Linked DNA regions of Macaca mulatta. The protein of the gene in region 1 purifies or fractionates together with the protein of each later gene. This does not show direct contact. Links are inferred from orthologs where the notes say so. Each region holds a gene or a part of one and is shown in the gene's direction. Other genes may lie near its edges. The genes, in order: KEAP1, IKBKB, OTUD1, GABPA, RBX1 and TSC22D4.

The links.
Region 2: the proteins of KEAP1 (region 1) and IKBKB purify together in Homo sapiens (affinity purification with western blotting; 7 studies listed by BioGRID and IntAct, with this or other methods). This does not show direct contact. The link is inferred for Macaca mulatta from reciprocal best matches to the Homo sapiens genes KEAP1 and IKBKB.
Region 3: the proteins of KEAP1 (region 1) and OTUD1 purify together in Homo sapiens (affinity purification with western blotting; 3 studies listed by BioGRID, with this or other methods). This does not show direct contact. The link is inferred for Macaca mulatta from reciprocal best matches to the Homo sapiens genes KEAP1 and OTUD1.
Region 4: the proteins of KEAP1 (region 1) and GABPA purify together in Homo sapiens (affinity purification with western blotting; 3 studies listed by BioGRID). This does not show direct contact. The link is inferred for Macaca mulatta from reciprocal best matches to the Homo sapiens genes KEAP1 and GABPA.
Region 5: the proteins of KEAP1 (region 1) and RBX1 purify together in Homo sapiens (affinity purification with western blotting; 6 studies listed by BioGRID). This does not show direct contact. The link is inferred for Macaca mulatta from reciprocal best matches to the Homo sapiens genes KEAP1 and RBX1.
Region 6: the proteins of KEAP1 (region 1) and TSC22D4 purify together in Homo sapiens (affinity purification with mass spectrometry; 4 studies listed by BioGRID and IntAct, counting the BioPlex papers as one, with this or other methods). This does not show direct contact. The link is inferred for Macaca mulatta from reciprocal best matches to the Homo sapiens genes KEAP1 and TSC22D4.

What each region holds. Positions count from the first base shown.
Region 1 is NC_133424.1:11,213,280-11,217,193, reverse strand, and holds the end of KEAP1 (kelch-like ECH-associated protein 1), read left to right. Parts: intron 1-346; coding exon 347-552; intron 553-830; coding exon 831-1,007; intron 1,008-2,720; coding exon 2,721-2,887; 3' UTR 2,888-3,414; downstream 3,415-3,914. UniProt on the Homo sapiens protein: Substrate-specific adapter of a BCR (BTB-CUL3-RBX1) E3 ubiquitin ligase complex that regulates the response to oxidative stress by targeting NFE2L2/NRF2 for ubiquitination.
Region 2 is NC_133413.1:44,370,619-44,374,664, forward strand, and holds the start of IKBKB (inhibitor of nuclear factor kappa-B kinase subunit beta), read left to right. Parts: upstream 1-1,246; 5' UTR 1,247-1,410; coding exon 1,411-1,439; intron 1,440-1,643; coding exon 1,644-1,761; intron 1,762-4,046.
Region 3 is NC_133414.1:24,895,283-24,899,235, forward strand, and holds the start of OTUD1 (OTU domain-containing protein 1), read left to right. Parts: upstream 1-1,153; 5' UTR 1,154-1,550; coding exon 1,551-2,993; 3' UTR 2,994-3,953. UniProt on the Homo sapiens protein: Deubiquitinating enzyme that specifically hydrolyzes 'Lys-63'-linked polyubiquitin to monoubiquitin.
Region 4 is NC_133408.1:21,748,940-21,752,439, reverse strand, and holds part of GABPA (GA-binding protein alpha chain), read left to right. Parts: intron 1-84; coding exon 85-330; intron 331-3,500.
Region 5 is NC_133415.1:10,578,625-10,582,864, reverse strand, and holds the start of RBX1 (E3 ubiquitin-protein ligase RBX1), read left to right. Parts: upstream 1-1,440; 5' UTR 1,441-1,461; coding exon 1,462-1,539; intron 1,540-3,976; coding exon 3,977-4,055; intron 4,056-4,240. UniProt on the Homo sapiens protein: E3 ubiquitin ligase component of multiple cullin-RING-based E3 ubiquitin-protein ligase (CRLs) complexes which mediate the ubiquitination and subsequent proteasomal degradation of target proteins, including proteins involved in cell cycle progression, signal transduction, transcription and transcription-coupled nucleotide excision repair.
Region 6 is NC_133408.1:47,666,715-47,670,236, reverse strand, and holds the end of TSC22D4 (TSC22 domain family protein 4), read left to right. Parts: intron 1-1,942; coding exon 1,943-1,991; intron 1,992-2,373; coding exon 2,374-2,583; 3' UTR 2,584-3,022; downstream 3,023-3,522.

The sequences.
Region 1 (3,914 bases):
CAGCTCACTGCAACCTACACCTCCCAGGTTCAAATGATTATCTCACCTCAGCGTCCCGAGTAGCTGGGATTACAGGCACCTGCCATCACACCCAGCTAATTTTTGTATTTTTAATAGAGACAAGGTTTTACCATATTGGCCAGGCTGGTCTTAAACTCCTGACCTCAGGTGATCCACCCTCCTCGGCCTCCCAAAGTGCTGGGATTACAGACACGTGCCACTGCGCCTGATGACCCTGTCTCTTTAAAGGAAGAAAAAAAGGGAAAAAAGGGGTATCAGGCCTTTAAGTATTCCACGAAGGTCAGCTATAATGGCCATTGTCCCCATTTTTCTTATGCCCTTGCAGGTATGAGCCAGAGCGGGATGAGTGGCACTTGGTGGCCCCAATGCTGACACGAAGGATCGGGGTGGGCGTGGCCGTCCTCAATCGTCTGCTTTATGCCGTGGGGGGCTTTGACGGGACAAACCGCCTTAATTCAGCTGAGCGTTACTACCCAGAGAGGAACGAGTGGCGAATGATCACAGCAATGAACACCATCCGAAGCGGGGCAGGTGGGTGGGGACGGTAGTGAGGGGAGCATCCAGGAACACCCCCACCATCCTGGGGTGAAACTGAGCCAGGCCTGGGAGAGACCCCCTGTTGCAACCCTCACCCTGAGATAACCACAGAAGCACTGGATTCTGATAGAGTCCAAGCTTCTCTCTCTCCATGCTTCATTTCTGAGGGTGAGAAGGGAGAGGAGAGAGGAAAGGTCTCCCTCAAGGAGGTGATGGCTGGGGCTCCCAAAGCCAGTCCTCCAGAGTCACCTTCTCTGCACGGTGCCCTTTAGGCGTCTGTGTCCTGCACAACTGCATCTATGCTGCCGGGGGCTATGATGGTCAGGACCAGCTGAACAGCGTGGAGCGTTATGACGTGGAAACAGAGACGTGGACTTTCGTAGCCCCCATGAAGCACCGGCGAAGTGCCCTGGGGATCACTGTCCACCAGGGGAGAATCTACGTCCTTGGTGAGGCCCTGGGGGTGGGGAAGAGTCCCGACTAGCCCCATCTCTTGTGGACTGTGGCTGCTTTTGCTTTTTTGCTTTCCTTTTTTTTTTTTTTTTTTTCTTAGAAACAGGGTCTCGCTCTGTCGCCCAGGCTGAGTGCAGTGGTGTGATCACAGCTTGCTGGAGCCTCAACCTCCTGGGCTCCAGCCATCCTCCTGCCTCAGCTTCCCAAGTAGCAGGGACCACACGCACGCACCACCACACCCGGCTAATGTTTGTTTTTTTGAGATGGAGTCTCGCAATGTTGCCCAGGCTGGGGTGCAATGGCATGATCTCAGCTCACTGCAACCTCCGCCTCCTGGAGGTTCAAGCAATTCTCCTGTCTTAGCCTCCTGAGTAGCTGGGACTATAGGTGTGTGCCACCGCACCTGGCTAATTTTTTGTATTTTAGTAGAGATAGGGTTTCACCATGTTAGCCAGGCTGGTCTCGAACTCCTGACCTCGTGATCCACCCACTTCAGCCTTCCAAAGTGCTGGGATTATAGGCGTGAGCCACCGCGCTGGGGCTTTTTCTTTTTTTGAGACAGGAGTCTCGCTCTGTTGCCAGGCTGGAGTGCAATGGCGCGATCTCAGCTCACTGCAACCTCCGCCTCCTGGTTTCAAGCGATTCTCCCCCCTCAGCCTCCCATGTAGCTGATATTACAGGTGCCCACCACTATGCCCTGCTAATTTTTATATTTTAGTAGAGATGGGGTTTCACCATGCTGGTCAGGCTGGTCTTGAACTCCTGACCTCAGGTGATCTGCCCACATCAGCCTCCCAAAGTGCTGGGATTACAGGCGTGAGCCACCACACTCGGCTTAATGTTATTTATGTATTTATTTATTTTTGAAACGGAGTCTGGCTCTGTCGCTCAGGCTGGAGTGCAGTGGCACACTCTCGGCTCACTGCAAGCTCTACCTCCCAGGTTCATGCCATTCTCCTGGCTCAGCCTCCCGAGTAGCTGGGATTATAGGCACCTGCCACCACGCCCGGCTAATTTTTATTTTTTTTTGTATTTTTAGTAGAGATGGGGTTTCACCATGTTAGCCAGGATGGTCTCAATCTCCTGACCTTGTGATCCGCCCACCTCGGCCTCCCAAAGTGCTGGGATTACAGGCGTGAGCCACAGCACCCGGCTGTTTTTATTTATTTTTATTTTATTTTTTTGAGACAGAGTTTTGCTCGTGTTGCCCAGGCTGGAATGCAATGGCGTGATCTCGGCTCACTGCAACCTCTGCCTTCCAGGTTCCAGTGATTCTCCTGTCTCAGCCTCCCTAGTAGCTGGAACTACAGGCACGCACCACCACGCCTGGCTAAATTTTTATGTTTTTTTTTGGTAGAGATGGGATTTCACCATGTTGCCCAGGCTGGTCTCAAATTCCTGGACTCAAGTGATCCACCCACCTCAGTCTCCCAAAGTGCTAGATTTACAGGCTGAGCTACCGCGCCTGGCCTTTTTTTTTTTTTTTTTCTTCAGTAAGAGACTAGAGTTTGCTATGTTGCCCAGGCTGTCCTCGAACTCCTGGCCTCAAGCGATCCTCCCGCCTCAGCCCTGCAAAGTGCTAGGATTATAGGCGTGAGCCACTGCGCCCGGCCTGCTTTTGCATCTCACAGCTGCTTCTCCCTCTTTCTGTCCCCTGCTCTTGGATGTGGTGTGACAGGTGGTGACCGTCCCTTCTGTTCTTCCTGCAGGAGGCTATGATGGTCACACGTTCCTGGACAGTGTGGAGTGTTACGACCCAGATACAGACACCTGGAGCGAGGTGACCCGAATGACATCGGGCCGGAGCGGAGTGGGCGTGGCTGTCACCATGGAGCCCTGCCGGAAGCAGATCGACCAGCAGAACTGTACCTGTTGAGGCACTTTTGTTTCTTGGGCGAAAATACAGTCCAATGGGGAGTATCATTGTTTTTGTACAAAAACCAGGATTAAAAGAAAAAAGACAGCACTGCAAATAACCCATCTTCCGGGAAGGGAGGCCGCGATGCCTCAGTGTTAAAATGACATCTCAAAAAGAAGTCCAAAGCGGGAATCATGTGCCTCTCAGCGGAGCCCCAGGAGTGTCCAAGACAGCCTGGCTGGGAAAGGGGGTGTGGAAAGAGCAGGCTTCCAGGAGAGAGGCCCCCAAACCCTCTGGCCCTGGGTCCCACCCACCCAGCCAGCCACGCCGGCAGCCCTCACCTTGTGATTTGTTCTTGGATACCTGGGAGGGGGCCAATGGGGGCCTCAGGCGGAGGCCCCCTCTGGAAATGTGGTTCCCAGGGATGGGCCTGTACATAGAAGCCACCGGATGGCACTTCCCCACCGGATGGACAGTTATTTTGTTGATAAGTAACCCTGTAATTTTCCAAGGAAAATAAAGAACAGACTAACTAGTGTCTTTCACCCTGGCTCTGGGCTGGAGGTCTGAAACCCGGGGCCAGAAAGGGCTCTTCTCCTGAAACACACTCCTCTTTGACTTAGGGCTGGTATTTGAAACCGTTTTGTAATCTTTGCCCATCGCATTTTGATATGTAGGGCATCTTTCTCCCCATAGGCAAGCCACACAGCTGTCCTTCAGTTTCAGCTGCCTTGGAAGACAAGGAGCTAATTCCTAGTCACATCTCCCAGGGCTCCCCAAGCTCATTTTTTTTTTTTTCCTTTTATTTTGAGACAGAGTTTTGCTCTTGTTGCGCAGGCTGGAGTGCAATAGCGTGATCTCAGCTCACAGCAACCTCTGCCTCCTGGGTTCAAGTGATTCTCCTGCCTCAACCTCCCGAGTAGCTGGGATTACAGGCGTGTGCCACCACATCTGGCTAATTTTGTATTTTTTTTTTTTTTTTGAGACGGAGCCTTGCTCTGTCGCCCAGGCTGGAGTGCAGTGGTCGGATCTCAGCTCACTGCAA
Region 2 (4,046 bases), on another chromosome or scaffold:
GGCTCTATCTCAAAAAAAAGAAAAAGAAATGAGGCTGGAGCAGTTGGGTGAGAGGTGGGGTGGTAAGGAGACAGCCCGAAGGGCAGGTGCTATGTGGCTGTCGATCGGTGTGTACATGTGACCTCGGAGCACCAGGAGGTGATTGCAGGTGACACCTGAGGACTGGAGATCCCTCCCATGCAGCAGACAGGGTGGGATTTGGCCTGCAGCTCGCTCTGCTGGTCCCCACTGTGCTGTTTCTGTAGGAAACAGGTGAGCAGATTGCCATCAAGCAGTGCCGGCAGGAGCTCAGCCCCCGGAATCGAGAGCGGTGGTGCCTGGAGATCCAGATCATGAGAAGGTGAGGGCCTTGTGCACCCCAAGGGAAAGCTGGAGCAGCAGCCCCCCGTGTGTCTAGAAAGGAGAGTCTTGCTGGGCACGGTGGCTCACGCCTGTAATCCCAGCACTTTGGGAGGCTGAGGCAGGTGGATCACGAGGTAAGGAGATTGAGACCATCCTGGCTAACACAATGAAACCCCATCTCTACTAAAAATACCAAAAATTAGCCAGGCTTGGTAGTGGGTGCCTGTAGTCTCAGCTACTTGGGTGGCTGAGGCAGGAGAATGATGTGAACCCGGGAGGCGGAGCTTGCAGTGAGCCAGGATCGCGCCACTGCACCCCAGCCTGGGCGACAGAGCGAGACTCCGTCTAATTTAAAAAAAAAAAAAAAAAGAAGAGGAGAGTCTTAAATCTCTGCCCCTCCATCAGGGCGCCAGCCCGACAGTCTCCACGGTGACTCTGCTGCTTCTAAAGATGCCAGAGGAAGAGCAGCTAAAGTCCACACTGGGCCTTGTCGGGGACTTTTCATCAGTTTCATTATATTAAATAAGTTAACACAGTTATCACAGTGACTTTTCCTTTGTCAGCAAAAAAAAAGCCTTCTTTCCTCCTGTATTTCCAGTTCCAAGGTGGTACATGACCGTTCTCTGCTGTCATGCTGCCGCTGACATTTATTCCTCTAGTGTGGAGACTGGGCCGTCCATCTGCCCGGTGGCTGCTGACCCCCTAGCTAGTGAGGTGGGCTCCGAAAGAGCCAGCGAGGAGGACACCAAGCAGGGGCTCCTCTGCCAGCCTCTTAAAAAGAGGAAGTGCCATTTGGTTACATCATGGTTCTATCTGGTTACACATGAGTTCCTTCTCAGATCCCTCTCTGTGTGTCCACCTTGGGGTGATGTGTGTGGGTGAATCAACCTGCCGAAAAATAAACAGAGAAAAGAAAAAAAATACGAGAACAAAAAGAGCAGGCACCACCTTGTTTGCCTGCTTGCATGTGTGACACATCCCCCCCATGTGGAGGGCATGAGATTGGAAGGTCTTCAAAGGAGCAGTTTGGCAGCACGATGAGGACTTGGGATGTAGCACGCACAGAAAATGGAAGTTACACGGAGTGTGCCCTCAGGGTCTGAGTTCTGGTGCTGCGGGTGGGGCTGGGTGCACGCCACTGACCGGGGCATTGCAGTTGGCCACCCGTACTGGGCTCTGTCTTCCTCTGTTTCGAAGCCCTGGGTTATCCTGGGCCTTTGTTGCTGAGACCTGATGGGGGTGATAGGGATGGGTCTGGGCAGGAGTCTGGCTCTGCTCTCATCGGTTTTCCTCCTTCCTAGGCTGACGCACCCCAATGTGGTGGCAGCCCGAGATGTCCCTGAGGGGATGCAGAACTTGGCGCCCAATGACTTGCCCCTGCTGGCCATGGAGTATTGCCAAGGAGGAGATCTCCGGAAGGTGAGGCTCCCGCGGCTGCCAGGCATACAGCCTGTCTGGGCAGGTGGGACACCAGGAAGGGGGATGGGAAGACCTTTCACTTCTGTCATCATCAGGAAGCTTGGGGACCCCCAGCAACTCCAGCAGGGCTGCTTTGCCTCTCAGATCCTCTGTTCCCTGCCCACCTGGGGCTGGTGTGTGTGTAAGTCAGAGGCACTTCCGAGAACACCAGGGAAGGGGGAAGGGCGTGCTGCACACTCTGCTGGGATTATTCCAATGACAAGGAAAACTCATCACAGGTTTGGGCGTGGGGAAGGACTGGGCAAGTTCCAAAACAAATGCTTCCTCCCTGGGCGTGTTAGGGCCACGTTAGGCCTTTGGTGCCAGCGCCACTGCTCTCCTTATTAGGAGGGATCTTATTCCAGAGATGGGACAGCACCACACATGGGGGCAGGGAGCATAGAAGAGAGGGAGTGGGATTCATGATCAGAGAGCTGGGCCAGGGCTGCAGACCTGCCCCAACCCATCCGACCCACCCAACCCACCTGACCCACCTGGACTCATCTGTGGGGCTCTGCTCTCCACCTTCTCACCACACCACCTCCTGTTCCCTAGAGTGTTCACTTCTGGTGGGTGGATGGCAGCCCCTTCTGGTCTCAGGGGCAGTTGGGTGCCCTCCTCCCCGTTGTTCCCTATGATAGTACCACATAGCCTGCTAGTACATGTTACCTCATTCGATTTCCAACAGCTCACACATGAGTGCACAGGTATGGTTCCCACATCACGGGTGGATATCACAGCCCAGAGAGGTTGGGCCTCACACAGCTGTAGCAACAGAGACTGGGTCCCAGTCCACACAGACCTAGCCGCAGGCCACCTCTCCATCTCTAAGACTGAATAAGGCCATATAACATGATAACTGGAAGCTCTGAACAAAATATATTTTTTTTTTGAGACAGAGTCTCGCTCTATTGCCCAGGCTGGAGTGCAGTGGCGTGATCTCGACTCACTGCAGCCTCCGCCTCCTGGGTCCAAGCGATTCTCCTGCCTCAGCCTCCCGAGTAGCTGGGATTATAGGTGCCCGCCCCCATGCCCAGCTAACTTTTGTATTTTTGGTAGAGGCAGGGTTTCGCCATACCAGCCAGGCTGGTCTCGAACTCCTGACCTCAAATGATCACCCACCTCAGCCTCCCAAAGTGCTGGGATTACAGGTGTGAGCCACTGCGCCCAGCCAAAAAAATTTTTATTTTAATTGAAAACGAGGTCGGTTACTCTGCGAGTGCACCTCTTTACTTTGGAAGGGTCACAATAGTGAGGGTGGGAGCCCAGGCGTTTATTCCCTTTCAGTGGCTATTCCCAGACACACTTCAGGTGCTACTCTTACTGTTCCTCCAGGCCCTTGTGCCTCTTAAAAAAAAAACAAAAGCTTTCCACTTTGGGAAGCTGAGACAGGAGGATAGCTTGAGGCCAGGAGTTTGAGACCAGCCTGGGCAACATACCAAGGCCCTATCTCCTCAAAAAATAAAAAACGAAAAATTAGCCAGGTGTGGTAGTGTGCGCTTGTAGTCCCCACTATTTCGGAGGCTGGACTGGGAGGATGGCTTGAGCCTGGGAGGTTGAGGCTACAGGGAGCTATGATTGCGCCACTGCATGCCAGCCTAGGCGACAGAGCAAGACTCAGTCTCATGAAAAAAGATAATCCTGTCTCAGAAGAAATAGACAGATAAATAAAATAAAAGGAAACTTGCCGTGGGCTTGGCCTGCCAGAGTGGCTCTCCCTGGAGATAGGCATGTCCTGGGAGTGGCACTCACAGCAGGATATGAACACAGCCCTTGGCATGACCCACAGTGAGAGATGGGGGAACTTGACAGCACTTTGATTTTTTCCTTATTTTTCTAACCTTTGACAGTCACCCATTACTGACTGCAGCTGTGTAGAGATAAAGCCATGTTGTAGTCAAGTGGAGACTTCCCAGAGGGCAGCCTGGAAGTAGGTGGGATGTGGCCAGATTACAGAGGGCTCTGAAGTGAGGCAGAGGCTTTTAGACTTGGTCTTTTAGGTGGCAAAGAGCCAATGAGCCAGAGAAGAAGAGATGGAAAGTTTAACATGACTGACCTGGCGTGGGTTGCAGGATGATTGAGGGGGAGGCAGGAAGGACTCGCATCCTAAGGAACCCCTATCCTTGCTGTCACCCAGTGGGGTTAGGGGAGGACACTGTTGCCCACTGTCTTGTTGTCTGTTGTTTCCTTTGTTCCCTCTAAAAAGTTCAAATCTATAATACATCCGTGGGCAAGGAGAGGCAGGC
Region 3 (3,953 bases), on another chromosome or scaffold:
CAAAAGGCCCTAGGTGATACTGCATTTGGTATTCTGAGAAAGGCTGTTTATAAAGGGCTAAAAGGCTTCCTTGCTTTCGCCCAAGCAGGTATTTGCCAAGTGACATAGGTCAGAGGTGCAGAAAAGTTGGTTTTGTCTTCGCAGGGCAGGAGAATCCACTAGAGGACTCACCCTTAACAGGTGGGTCCAAGGAAGTGCATAGAAAAGACGCAGTGGTAAAACTAGCTGGGCACCTGTAATCCCTGCCCAAGGCAAGGCTGAGGAAGGGGGATCGCTTGGACCTCGGAGGTGGAGGTCGCAGTGGGGCATGATGGCGCCACTGCAGTCAGCCTGGAAGGCAGAGCAAGACCTTGCCTTAAAAAGGAAAAGAAAAAAAAAAAAAAAGAGGAAAAGACTCGTGGTGCCAGGATTGGTGGCTAGGGCCTGTAATCCCAACACTTTGGGAGGTCAAGGCGGGAAACAACTTGAGGCCAGTAGTTCGATACCAGACTGGGCAACTGTAATAGTGAGACCCTCGCCTTAAAAAAAAAAAAAAAAAATTAGCCGGGGGCGGTGGTGCACACCTGGGTTGAGGTGGGCGGATCGCTTGAGTCCGGGAGGTCAAAGCTTCAGTGAGCTATGGACTGCGCCACTACACTCCAGCTTTGGAGATAGGTGAGACCCTCATCTCTAAAAAGATAAAAGAGGCAGTAGTGGATGCAAGGAGGGATGGTAGCCCATGACCATGCAGAGGCCAAACAGCATTCTGTTCTCCACACCCATGCCAGAAGCTTTCCTGCCAAGCAAGCTTTCCGAGCATGCTAACTCGCTCCAAGAAGCGCCCATCCCGCAGCACCCACTGCAGCCGCTGCGGAGAGTGGTGCAGCGCAGAAACCCGTGCCCAGGTCGGGGAAGCGGTCTGCGGGAGTCACGTGGGCGGGAGGCCCAGCCAGGAATTCCCGGACTGCTCAGGCCTCCGAGCCCCCGGCCTCGCCCCGCCCGCGCGCGCGACGAGGGCCACGCCCGTGACGTCGGCGGAGCGGAGCAGGGGGCGGGGCGCGGGCCGGAGTGGGCGGGGCGAGCCGACGCGGCTGAATCGGGCGCCGAGACAAGCCGCGCATTCCAGCGAGTCCACGTGACGCGGCCGCGAGGCCTGAGGTAAACAACCGCGGCCCCGCCTCCCGGGCCTCCGCGCGCACCGCGCTCCTCCTCGCCGGCAGGACGCGCTCCAACGAGGCGGGCGGCTTCCTCCGTGAGTCCCCAGCGGCCGCCGCAGGCCGGAGCAGCTGCAGCGGGCGCGACGCCCCGGGTCTGCGGGCTGAGCGCACCGGCAGGAGTCGAGCTCGCGTCCCGTCCCCGCCCCCCCCACGCTGTGGCGCAGCAGGAATTTGGCCGGGACCCGGGCGCTATTCGCGGCTGCTGACGCGCGGCGGCCAGCGGCCTTGCGCTCATCTCTATTCTGGGGCCGTTGGGTCACCGCGCTCCGCCGGCCCCCTCCCCCGGGCCCGGAGGGTGTGTCCCCCGCTCCGGGGCTCGCCGCGCCTATAAGGGGCCGAGCGGCGGGCAGGGACATGCAGCTCTACAGCAGCGTCTGCACCCACTACCCCTCCGGGTCACCGGGTCCCACGGCCGCCGCCCCCGCGCCACCCGCCGCCGCCGCCCCCACCTTCAAGGTCTCGCTGCAGCCCCCGGGAGCCGCCGGCGCCGCGCCCGAGCCCGAGACCGGTGAGTGCCAGCCCGCCGCGGCCGCCGAGCACCGTGAAGCCGCCGCTGTCCCCGCCGCCAAGATGCCCGCCTTCTCCTCCTGCTTCGAGGTGGTGTCCGGGGCCGCCGCGCCCGCCTCTGCCGCCGCCGGCCCGCCTGGCGCGTCCTGCAAGCCGCCGCTGCCGCCGCACTACACGTCCACCGCGCAGATCACCGTGCGGGCCCTGGGCGCCGACAGGCTCCTGCTGCACGGGCCCGAGCCCGCTCCCGGCACCGCGGGCTCCGCCGCTGCCCCGCGCGGCCGCTGCCTCCTGCTGGCCCCAGCGCCCGCAGCCCCGGTCCCGCCGCGGCGGGGCTCCTCGGCCTGGCTCCTGGAGGAGCTGCTGCGGCCCGACTGCCCCGAGTCCGCGGGCTTGGACGCGACACGGGAGGGGCCCGATCGGAACTTCCGACTGAGCGAGCACCGCCAGGCCTTGGCCGCCGCCAAGCACCGAGGCCCCGCGCCGACCCCGGGGAGCCCCGACCCCGGTCCGTGGGGCGAAGAGCATTTGGTGGAAAGGGGCCCTAGGGGCTGGGAGAGGGGCGGCGACCGCTGCGACGCTCCCGGTGGGGACGCGGCGCGGAGGCCCGACCCAGAGGCCGAGGCACCCCCAGCCCGGAGCATCGAGACCGCCCCGAGCAGCGCGGCGGAGCCGGTGATCGTCTCCAGGTCAGATCCCAGAGACGAGAAGCTGGCCCTGTACCTGGCCGAGGTGGAGAAGCAGGACAAGTACTTGCGGCAGAGGAATAAGTACCGATTCCACATCATTCCCGACGGCAACTGCCTCTACCGAGCTGTCAGCAAGACGGTGTATGGGGACCAGAGCCTGCACCGGGAGCTGAGGGAGCAGACGGTGCACTATATCGCCGACCATCTCGACCACTTCAGCCCCCTGATTGAGGGCGACGTGGGGGAGTTTATCATCGCTGCTGCCCAAGACGGGGCATGGGCTGGGTACCCGGAATTGCTGGCCATGGGGCAGATGCTGAATGTGAATATCCACTTAACTACTGGAGGGAGGCTGGAGAGCCCCACGGTGTCTACTATGATTCATTATTTGGGCCCAGAGGATTCCCTGAGGCCTAGTATTTGGCTCAGTTGGCTCAGTAACGGACACTATGATGCTGTATTTGATCACTCCTATCCTAACCCAGAGTACGACAACTGGTGCAAACAAACTCAAGTGCAAAGGAAACGCGACGAAGAACTTGCCAAATCTATGGCCATATCCCTATCCAAAATGTATATTGAACAAAATGCATGCTCTTGAAATGTCTCAAAACCTTACACCCTGGGAATAATTGCATACATAACTTGTGTTTGGAGAATCACATGAACTCTAATCAGGGTAATAGCACTTTCAAACTTGCTAGTAGATTTTATTGTAGGTGTAATGCCTTAATCATCTTTTTGAATGTTTTCTCGGAGCTGAAGGTTGCTGGGCCACCTAAATGATGTTTCATGATAGCTTTGGGTGATTTTATTGCTATTTATAATTTGCTGTATAAAGTGAGCACTACTTAATTTGCAAGCTGATTTCTCACAGTGTAAATTTGTTCATTCCTGGTAGTCTATTTTCTATAAAAATGTATTTTTGCACAACATTTTTAAAAACTGGTGTACCTTCATCTATGATGTGTTCAGGCATAAATCCAGAGAAGTGCTTTATATGAAATGTATTATTTTGAACAGAATTTGTGATTTGGTAGTTATTTTATGTTGTTGAAATTTGAATTTCACAATTCTTAGATAATTATTTCAAATGGATATTGAAACATTCTTGTTACCAGATGTTTGGCCCATTCCATTTTGATGAAACAGAGCTGTTGTTTTGGAAATCATTATTTTTCTAGAAATGGTGAATCTTTTAAAGAAAATTATCTAATGGAAGGTTGTGGGAAGGTGTTTTTTTTCTTTTTTTTCCTGTTTTAAGGGATAGTACCAGGTCTTACTTGAATGAAAGTCTGATATTTGCTGATGGCAGAATGGTTATTCTGTACCCTGGTTGATATGTAGAGTAGATCGTCTGGTGCTCTCAATTGTTTTTATTGACATTTGTTATTTTGTTATAAAGAGAATGTTAATATGGTATAAAACTCTGTGACAAGATAAGCCTCCTGCTTTAACTTCTTGGATCCAACTAAGAGATTTATAAACTAATGGCATAAATGTCTGGAGCCACCCTTGGCAGTTAGAGCAGGAGAACACTGTCTTAATATTTCTTTTACAT
Region 4 (3,500 bases), on another chromosome or scaffold:
ATTTTGGAACATATACCCTAAATTATGTTTTGGTGACTTCTGTGTTTTCATTTAGATTCATAATTTTTTTTATCCACTGTTAAGGAATTGAACCAAAGTTAAACATCCTTGAAATTGTTAAACCTGCGGACACTGTTGAGGTTGTTATTGATCCAGATGCCCACCATGCTGAATCAGAAGCACATCTTGTTGAAGAAGCTCAAGTGATAACTCTTGATGGCACAAAACACATCACAACCATTTCAGATGAAACTTCAGAACAAGTGACAAGATGGGCTGCTGCACTGGAAGGCTATAGGAAAGAACAAGAACGCCTTGGGATACCCTATGGTAATGAAATACGTAATTCTATATTGGGTAGAACAGTAGGAATTAAGCTTGACATAGAAGACACTAGGGTAAGTTATAATCTATTTTACATGTAGAGTTATTAGAATGAATGTTGATTTTCTTATCTCTCTTTTTTAATTGTAATATACATTTAAGCTCATATGGTGGACAAATTCAGTCCTGCGTGCCGGAAGTACAAAGAAGTCTAAAAAATTTCTGCTCTTAGGGTGTTGAGAGTGTAGTTGAAGAGAGAGAAGATAGATGAAAAGTGATAATTGCTGTAAAAGGTAACATGTTTTTAAACTGTCAGTAACTCTTATAGAAGCAGCATGCTATTGGAATCTCAAAGGGATCCTAGTTGCCCTGAGGGAAAGGTGAAAAGGGTTTATTATAAATAAGGTTTATTATAAATAAGATACTATTGGGCAGAGAAAGATATTTAAGACAGGAAGTGTTATGTGCAAAGCTTAGACCTGGGGGTATGCGTGAGTAGTGAGAAAATTGAGTGGTTAAGGAGTTACTCTGTAGCATTACAGAACTGTTTTGATTGATGAAAATAATTGGAAAATGAATATGGTGGTGGTATATGGTGTCAGTTGGAACAGGTAGAGACTGAGTGAAGGGAAAACAGGAGCATATTATAATTGTGGCTAGATGATAGGTGATTTCTTTGGGAGTAGAAAGGAAAAAGTAGATGAAAATAGTAATAGGACTGAGCAGATTGACAGATTTTATGAGAGTAGAGAGAGAAGATACAAGTATTGATCTAACTTCTCAAGCTTCATCTTGGTGACTAAAACAGTAATAATCTTGATAAAAATTGGTTCCATCATCATTGCATGTTTAGTGAACACTACTATATGCCAGGCACCATGTTAAATGCTGGGCTTAATTAAGATGGTGCACTAGAAAGAGCATGCCTTCAATAGCCCAGTTGGGGAAGTAGAGAAGTCTGGTATAGGAAATGCTTTTTTCAAGAGAAGGTGGATAGCACTTGATTTTGAGGTGAAAGTTTATATTCAGCTGCAGGTAGCCAGAAAATGGTTTCAGTTATATAAGATTTGGGCTGGAGACAAAGATGTTATATGAGACTCATTCACATTGAATTTGTATTTGAAGCTATAAAAGTCTACGTAGTCCCTGATGGAAGCAAGGAATGGAAAAGAACACACAACTAAAGCATATATCCTAGACCCTATAAACATTTAGGGTTGGAGAAAAGGGAGACAAGAAATAACTGAAGAGACAGAAAGAAAGAAATAACTTATATGTATAGTGTCACTGAAATTGAGGGGAGAGTTTGGATGGTCAAGACTCTCAGATGCTGCCGAGAAAGTCAAAGAATGCTCACTATATCTCTTAAATGTGATGATCAGAGGATCATTCTTAAATTTAGACAAAAGTAACTAGAGTTGGTGAGACAAAACAGTATTATAAGAAATAGACATCTTAGAAGTGGGGGCGGATGAGGAAGAATGCTGGGGTAACAAATAAATACTATTGATCATCCAAGAGTTGGTGGGGACCTCAGTGTATTTGTAAATGAAACAGTATTGTCGGGTTTTTTGTCCTTTTTTTATTTTTTATTTTTAGAGACAAGGTTGTACCTGGGGAGCAGTGCTGATGACAGAAAGGCTGTGTTATAGAACTGCTGTTTTCCCTAAGACATTTTTTTCTTTCTTTAAACCAAACCTAAAAGATACACAATAAATGATAGAGCTTACCCATGGAACTGAAAGAGAGCTACGGAACCAGACAGCTAGTGTAGAATTTCAGTCTGTCCCTCTACTGCCCAGGACTGTAGCCACTCATCACGTGTGAGCACTTGAAGTGTCCCTGGTCAAAATTAAGATGTGTTATGAATGTAAAATACCCATTAAAAGAAAGAATGTAAAATCTTTTTAAATTTTTTTATATTGATTACTGGTTGAAATAACATTTGGAACATTAAGTTAAAATAAATTCATTATTGCTGACAAGTTGATGGGTGCAGCACGCCAACATGGCACAAGTATACATATGTAACAAACCTGCACGTTATGCACATGTACCCTAGAATTTAAAGTATAATAAAAATAATAAATAAATAGTGAGTTTAATGAAAAAAAAAAGATGTATTTTGCCAACTTTTTAAATGTAACTATTAGAAAATTAAAAATTACATAATGGTCTGCATTATATTTCTGTTGGACAGCCCTGATCTTGATAATTGTCACCTTTAGTTCTGGATGTTCTTACTGCATTCTTTTGATAAATACTTCTGTGTTCTTTTTTCGGAACTCCTGTTGAATCTCTTGAGTTGATCTGCTGCATCTTTTTTCTTGTTTATTTTTCGTCTTTCCTATCTGCACTACTTTCTGCCAGATTTTCTTGTCTTTATAATATAACCTATCTGATTTTTAATTTACAAGGGCTCTTCGTTTTTGTTTGTGCCTTTCTGTAGCATTCTGATCTTATATTGCCAATGTCATGTTTTCTCCTACTTCTTTGAGTATATTGATTATAGTTTTAACTTTTAAAAAGCTTTACTGCAGTATTTCTGTTTCTTGTGGATTCTGCTTTTCTTGTGGTTTTTGTTTGTGGTGTTTTTAACCTCTCTCAAATATCTAATTATTTTTGCCCATCTTTTCACATTTAAGAATTAATCACTTCAGGCCGGGTGTGGTGGTTCACGCCTGTAATCCCAGCACTTTGGGAGGCTGAGGCGGGTGGGTCACTTGAGGCCAGGAGTTTGAGACGAGCCTGGCCAACATGGTGAAACCCTGTTTCTACTCAAAATATAAAAATTAGCTGGGCGTGGTGGCGCATGCCTGTAATCCCAGCTGCTTGGGAGGCTGAGGCATGAGAATCTCTTGAACCTGGGAGGCAGAGGTTGCAGTGAGCTGAAATTGCACCACTGCATTCTAGCCCGGGCAACACAGTGAGACTCCATCTCGAAAAAAAAAATAAGAGTAAATAACTTTAAAGCTAATTAATGTGAAGTTCTGAAGGATTTGATAACTATATGCTGATAAAATGAGGCATTGACTCTTTCATTAAAAGAATTTCAGGCCAGGTGTGGTGGCTCATGCCTGTAATCCCAGCACATTGAGAGGCTGAGGTAGGAGGGTTTCTTGAGGCCAAGAGTTTGAGACCAGCCTGGGCTATATAGCCAGACTGTCTCCACAAAA
Region 5 (4,240 bases), on another chromosome or scaffold:
TAAAAGGCTTCAAATCACCTGTACGAGATCTAAGAGTGCTCTGGCGGAGTCATACCTCTGCAAGGTTAGAGATGTCAAAGGGAGTCCTGGTCTAGCGAGAAAAGGGAGAGTGACACAAAGTACAGGTGCTTGGGTCGGGCGCGGTGGCGCACTCCTGTGATCCTAGCACTTTGGGAGGTCGAAGTGGGAGGATCGCTTGAGCCGAGGAGTTCGAGACCAGCCTGGGAAACAGAGTGAGACCTTGTCTCTATTTAAAACAAAAAAAAATCGGCTCTAGCCTGTAATTCCAGCACTTTGGGAGGCCGAGGCAGGCGGATCACCTGAGGTCAGGAGTTCGAGACCGGCCTGGCCAACATGGTAAAAACCCGTTTCTACTAAAAATACAAAAGAGCCGGGCGTGGTGGCGGACACCTGTAATCCCAGCTACTAGGGAGGCTGAGGCAGGAGAATCGCTTGGACCCGGGAGGTGGAGGTTGCAGTGAGCCGAAATCGCGCCAGTGCACTCCAGCCTGGGCAACAAGAGCGAAACTCCGTCTCAAAAAAACACCCCAAAAAGAATGCTTCACAAAAATTAAAGAAATACAGCGACTGCAGATGGGTCGGTTTCACTATAGCACAAGTAGCGGAAAGAGGACACAGACTGGGGAGAAATCACCCTACACAAGATGACAACTGAGGAATGAGAAGTGGGGACTGACACACGCCACGGTGAAACCGCGCACCACGACCAAAGGCGGTCCTAGGACTGCGACTAAGCGGGCGCAGAGGCCACCCTCCAGGCTTGGCGGGGGGATGAGGGCAGCACTGGGGGCCTGCTCAGTCTGGCCTTAGGGAGGACCTTCGGGGCTCTCCTCTCTCCCCATCGATCCCTGAGCAGTTCCCGAACAGAAATCGGAGACCAGACGGTGCCTGGGCCCCAGCCCTCCCACGCGGACTGCGCCTTGGGCCTGGCTCGGAGGTGGGTCAGAGTCTGCGAAAGACCAGCGAGGGCTCTCAGGTTTCGGGGCAGGCGGCGGGCGCCCACCCCGGCTAGCAATGGGAGTCGCGCGGCGACCGGGCGAGCCCGGTAGGCAGGACAGGACTGCGGCGCAGGTCCGACTCAGGCGGAGGAAGCAGCCGCCGCCCCAGCTGATGGAGTGCGGCCGGGGGCTTCCCAGAGGAGGCGGCGACCTCGAGCCCTTTCGAACGTTTCTACCAGGCTAGCTCACGTAGCCTCGGCCCCGCCCGGCCCCGCCCCGCCCCACCCACTCCGGCCACCGCCCCCTCCCCGGCCGACACTTCGCGGGTGGGGCGACTTGCGATAGCCCCTTTAAGAGGCGTGGTCACGTGCTCCGCCCCCACCTCCCCCACGCGCGCCAGTAAGGGGTGGGGTGCGGGAGGAGGTGCCGGGGAGGCTGGGGGAACGAGGTGTGCGCTGCTGCGCAGGCGCGGTGGTCGGACGACAGACCGTGTGTTTCCAAAATGGCGGCAGCGATGGATGTGGATACCCCGAGCGGCACCAACAGCGGCGCGGGCAAGAAGCGCTTTGAAGTGAAAAAGGTTGGGTCTCGCCAGCGCCTTCCTCAGGGAAGCTAGAGAGGCGCGGATCTGGCTGGCAGGCCCGAGGATGGTCGAGGCGCGGAGTAAAGGGTTTCATTTTAGGGCGTTCCTGGGACCGGGTACCACGAAAGGAAGTCGGGGGGCGGGCCTTAGAGTTGATCGGCGTGACGGCGGCCCACTGTCAGGGGAAGTGTTGGTTTCGATGTGAGGCTGAGGGGCCAATCACAGAGCTGCTTGTTGAGATACGCGGGGTTGCGACTTGGCGGCGGGAGCCAAGCGCCTGAGCTGTCACTGGAGTGGTTGAGAGGTGGGGGAAGGTAGGGTGGGGTGAGGTAGGGTGGGGTGGGGTGGGGTGGGGTGGGTGGAATGGGGAGTCAGAGCGACTGCGGCGGTGGAGGATGGGGCAGTGCGGCGAAAGCCTGGAACCTGAGGTCCTACCGCATTGGAGGCCTCTGAGGAGCCCCGCTAGTGATCTTGCTCCGCCCCTTTTTGAAGCTTGCTTGGGGTCCTCTCACTTGAAGGGATCAGACTTGTTCCTCGCTGAACCGAGGCCTCCATTAACCCCATCTCTGGGCCTCACACCGCCGAGTTAGAGTCTGGAGTGTAATGCTTGGGTGTTCTGAGACGTCTGTTGGCTTTTCCCACAACCACCCCACTCTTGGATTCTCTGTCACGTTCAGAATCTCCCCCTTCCGAAATAATAATAAAAAGCACGGTGGAACTTGTTAAGAAAATCCGAGCCCAAATCCTGTGGCATTTCGGAAGGGTTGAGTACTAGTTGCGAATGACTTGGTAAGAGGGGAAAGCAAAAATGGAACGTGTCTTTTGCATGAAATGCATTTTAGTGGTTTGCCACAGTTTGGGAGAAAAGTGTCGATTCCCACCTAACATGAAAACTATTCGAAATGGAGATTCTGAAATAGGGAAGATATTCCTGGAACATCTGGCTAAACACTGACAATATCCCCCCCCTCCTAGTGCTTTTTGGTGTCTCATTGTGGCCACTGCTGCTCAGTTACAGCCAGCCATATTGAAGAATAATAGAAGTAGGGGCTTTTCCTCCAAGTTGAAGCTGTGATGTGAAAAGTGGTGAAGAAGTTACTAGGCACTGAGACTGGGGTTTGAAAGCGATGAAGGTTTGGGAGTACTTGTAATTGAGGAAACCAGAGTTGAATGAATGAAATGCCACTTTTAATTAAACTCTTACTGGAATTATTATCTTTTTTTTTTTTTTTTTTTTTTTTTTGAGACGGAGTCTAGCTCTGTTTCCCAGGCTGGAGTGCAGTGGCCGGATCTCAGCTCACTGCAAGCCCCACCTCCCGGGTTCACGCCATTCTCCTGCCTCAGCCTCCCGAGTAGCTGGGAGTACAGGCGCCCGCCACCTCGCCCGGCTAATTTTTTTTGTATTTTAGTAGAGACGGGGTTTCACCGTGTTAGCCAGGATGGTCTCGATCTCCTGAACTCGTGATCCGCCCGTCTCGGCCTCCCAAAGTGCTGGGATTACAGGCTTGAGCCACCGCGCCCGGCCTGGAATTATTATCTTAATAGAAGAGTCTAAACATATAAAAGTTCAGAACATCAGTTTATTTTATGGTAAGAATCGAACAAAATTCTAGTGAATTGTAGAATTTGTTATGAAGTAATCTAAGATTTAAGTGATGACCTTGTTCTGTGTACTGACATGGGCAGTTAATTATCCAGCTTATCCCACGATTACCTGTTTTATGATCCAGTCATCATCTTAGTTCATTCTGTTCCCTAGCTTTCACTTCATTGCTCATGCTTCCAAAGCTGCCTGGAAGAGCAGATACTTATTCAGATTTTGAGCGCTTCTGCAACTGCCACCAAAACCTGCACAGAAATTCAAGTTTGTGCTTTTTTTTTTTTTTTTTTTTTTAGATGGAGTCTCACTCCATCGCCCAGGCTGGAGTGCAGTGGCACGATCTCGGCTCACTGCAACCTCTGTCCCCCAGATTCAAGCGATTCTCCTGCCTTAGCTTCCCAAATAGCTGGCATTATAGACACCCGCCACCAAGCCTGGCTAATTTTTGTATTTTTAGTAAAGACGGGGTTTCGCCATATTGGCCAGGCTGGTCTCGAACTCCTGACTTCAGGTGATCCACCCGCCTCAGCCTTCCAAAATGCTAGGATTATGGGCGTGAGCCACTGCGTCCGGCCAGACTAAATTGTTTTAAACTACAGGAAACAAAAGATGACATTCATTTATGTCTTCATATACTCAGTCTTTTGGAGAATAGGAGAACGTATGTGTTGTCTACTGTTGTCTTTGGTATAATAAGATTAACATAATATCCAAAACCTTTTGTTTGGTGGTTCCTTGTGGCCAGAGATCATAACTACAACTGCAGCCTGAAGTCCTAAAAACTGTGTGTGTGTTATAAGGAGAATGCATTGTTCCCTCTTTTTGTCTTTGCAGTGGAATGCAGTAGCCCTCTGGGCCTGGGATATTGTGGTTGATAACTGTGCCATCTGCAGGAACCACATTATGGATCTTTGTAAGTAATTGGAGGAGGATGGGAGGAAGTTGAGAAGGTTGCAGAGCTTGTGGCTATCTTGATGTGACCGATTTTCTTCTTCACAAGCAGATATCAAGCCTACTCTGAGCACTCGGTCTTCTGTATCTAGTCTTTTGGTGTGTTTGAAATAGAGTAGTTTTTTTATGATGTCCTGGAGGCATACC
Region 6 (3,522 bases), on another chromosome or scaffold:
CTTCCTCTGAGACCCCAGACCCAGGTCCCAGGCCCATAGGCGGTTTTTTTTTTTTTTTTTGAGACGGAGTCTCGCTCTGTCGCCCAGGCTGGAGTGCAGCGGCCGGATCTCAGCTCACTGCAAGCTCCGCCTCCCGGGTTCACGCCATTCTCCTGCCTCAGCCTCCTGAGTAGCTGGGACTACAGGCGCCCACAACCTCGCCCGGCTAGTTTTTTGTATTTTTTAGTAGAGACGGGGTTTCACCGTGTTAGCCAGGATGGTCTCAATCTCCTGACCTCGTGATCCGGCGGTATTTTTTTTTTAAGACAGAGTTTTGCTCTTGTTGCCCCGGCTGGAGTGCAGTGGCCTGATCTCGGCTCACTGCAGTCTCCACCTCCCAGGTTCAAGCGATTCTCCTGCCTCAGCCTCCTGAGTAGCTGGGATTACAGGCACCTGCCACCACGCCTGGCTAATTTTTTGTACTTCTAGTAGAGCCAGGGTTTCACCATGTTGGCCAGGCTGGTCTCGAACTTCTGACCTCAGGAGATCCGCCTGCCTCAGCCTCCCAAAGTGCTGGGATTACGGGCATGTGCCACCATGCCTGTTCCTTTTTTTGTTTGTTTTTTTGAGACAGGATCTCACTCTGTCTTCCAGGCTGGAGTGTAGTAGCACGATCTTAGCTCACTGCAACCTCTACCTCCCGGGTTCAAGCAATTCTCCTGCCTCAGCCTCCTGAGTAGCTGGGATTACTGGCACCCTCCACCATGCCTGGCTAATTTTTGTATTTTCAGTAGAGATGGGGTTTCACCGTGTTAGCCAGGCTGGTCTCGAACTCCTGACCTCAAATGATCCACCCACCTCAGCCTCCCAAAGTGCTGGGATTACAGGTGTGAGCCACCGCACCTGGCCTTTAGGCTGTATTCGTCTTCTAGGGCTCTGGGCTCAGTTTCTGTTGCCATGGTAACCTTTCCCATTTTTGGTCTTCTCTGGAAAGTCAGGGACCCTCTGGCCAGGTCCCGGGGTCACCCATGATGTGAGCCTTGTGGGGTTTTTTGGTAGTAGAGCACTCATGATCTATGGAAGACCACGAGTACGTCAGAACGCCCCCTACCCCAGCCACCTCCACCCTCTTTCCCAAGGCCTTGAGGGACAGAGGGGACAGGATGGGGTCAGAGGTGGGGAGGGGCCTCCGAGGGCCAGGCCCTTCGTCTCCCTTCACACCCTTCACTCCCCTCTCAGACCCAGGCTTCTGCCCCACGCCCCTCCCCTGGCCCAGCCACCAGCTGACTTCCTCGGCCGGCCCCCTCCCCTCCACTCTGGGATTGGTGCCAGGGTGAGAAGGGGACACTGGCACTGACCGTGTCTGGGAATTCCCGCCCACCGAGGAGCCGAGGGGAGGGGGGGTCCCCGTGTCCCCAAGGAGCCAATAGCAGCCAGGCCTTGCCCTTGGGGGGGGTGGTGTATATCTTTCAGGCCAGCACCCCCGAGGCACTGTCTCCTCTCTGCCTGCCTGGCACCAGCCAGACCCCGCTCTGCCCGGGGGGCTCTGAGCCCCCCAGGCATTCCCTTCACTGCATCCTTCTCCGTTGGGGGGGCGTCTAAGGACCCTTTCCCCTTGGGCATGGCCCAGCCAGGGATCTCTGTCAAGTCCCTGGTGTCATCTTATGAGACCCGAGTGGTGGGGATGGCTCCGGGGCTGCCCCGAAAAAGGGACTGTGCCTCTTCCCCTTGCTCTCCCCGGGGTGCGTCCCCCATACGAGGGACATCTGGGCCCCCGCCCCACCGGGGCCTGGGAGGCCCTGGGCAGCGGCCCTCAGCCCGCAGGGGGATGGACAAAACCCTCCTCTCCCTCATTCTCTACTGTCACAGGTATAGGGGGGTGTGGGCGGGAGGCTGTGGTCCAAGAAACCAGCACCTGGGAAGGCTCCTCCTCTCCTCCCCTCACCTTCCTGTGTCTCTCCAGTGGCTCCGGAAGCCTGGTTGGCATTGACAACAAAATCGAGCAAGCCATGGTAAGAGAAGCCATCTTGGTCCCAGGAGGTCCCGGCCCCCTTAAGCCATCCCTCCGCCCCAGCCCTGTCTTCTTCCTTACCAGGGAACACCAACTCCCAGTTCCTCCATCCCTCTCCCTGCTGGGCTCCTGGGCATCCTCTGCCCCCTCCTACCGCCACCTGCACCCTTGACTTTGCCCAGCCTCTGGTCTGGCTGCTGGTCCCCATCTCTGTCTTTGAGCTCTGACTCTGCCTCTGTCCCTCGTCCTTTTCCCCTGTCCCTTCCCTGCTTTGTCTCTCATCCTCTGGACACGGGACTCTCTCCCATCCCGGCCCTTGAGGCACTGGGCAGGGGATGAGGCACCCACTCCGTTGACACTGTGCCTGTCCCCGGGGCCCCCAGGATTTGGTGAAGTCCCACCTCATGTTTGCGGTCCGGGAGGAGGTGGAGGTACTGAAGGAGCAGATCCGGGAACTGGCAGAGCGGAACGCTGCGCTGGAGCAGGAGAATGGGCTGCTGCGCGCCCTGGCCAGCCCGGAGCAGCTGGCTCAGCTGCCCTCCTCGGGGGTCCCACGGCTTGGGCCCTCCGCGCCCAATGGGCCCTCCGTCTGAGCCTCCCTTCCCTTACAATGTGCCTTTGGGGCTGCCCGGCCTTTTGTCAGCCGCCTGCCCCCTCTTCCTATGCAGCTTTAATGTCCCCATGTCCCCAGGGTGGGAGTTCAAGGCTCAGTAACGGCCTGGTCCCCCGGCCCCTGCCCCATCTCCTCATCATCCCCAGCCTTGATGGAGGAGGGAGGACTTCAGGACGGGGCATCAGAGGGAGCCCCCTCTGGGAGGGAACCAACCTCCACCCTCCCTCATGGGACCCCCAGCAGTCGACGGCCTGGGGGAGTTGGAGGCTCCCTGGCAGACACCCCACCCCCACCTTGTTCCCTTGAGGTGCATCCTCTCCTCTGCCCAGGGGAGGGAGTGTGGACAGTATCTGGAAGTTCTGGGATTCAGGTTGTTATTAAAATAATAATAATAATTAAAAATTCTGAAGAAACTTGAATTTGGAGGTTGACATCTCGTTCGTTGCTTGTGTTCAGACTCAGGGGTCGCGCCTGCCATTTGGGGCTTCCCTGAGATCTTTTGCAGACTGGGGAGGTTTAAAGCGTGGGAGATGGAGGGGTTGAGACAGAGACTGGAGAAGGGAGCCAGCGGTTCGGGTCCTGGGAAGGGGCAGGCGAGGATTGGGGGTGGGGGGGCGTCTGCCCACGTGCTGGGCGGGGGGACCAGGAAACAATGAGGTCTTTGGTGGCTGCCCAAGATCCACCCCCAGCTTCCCAGTGTGTCCCCTCTGCGGGCTGGATCCGGGTGGCTGCTTGGGGGCGGGGCGGGGGGCCCTGAATGGGCCCCTTGTCTCTGGGCTGGGTGTGGGCCAGACTCCCTGGGCACACGGTGCCCTTGCCAGGCCTGGCCGGCCGCCGTGGCTCCCACCCCCGGCCAGCTGAGGACGGGCCCTGTGGGTGAGATGGCCCCTCCCTGGCAGCCTGGGCTCCAGTCCCAGGC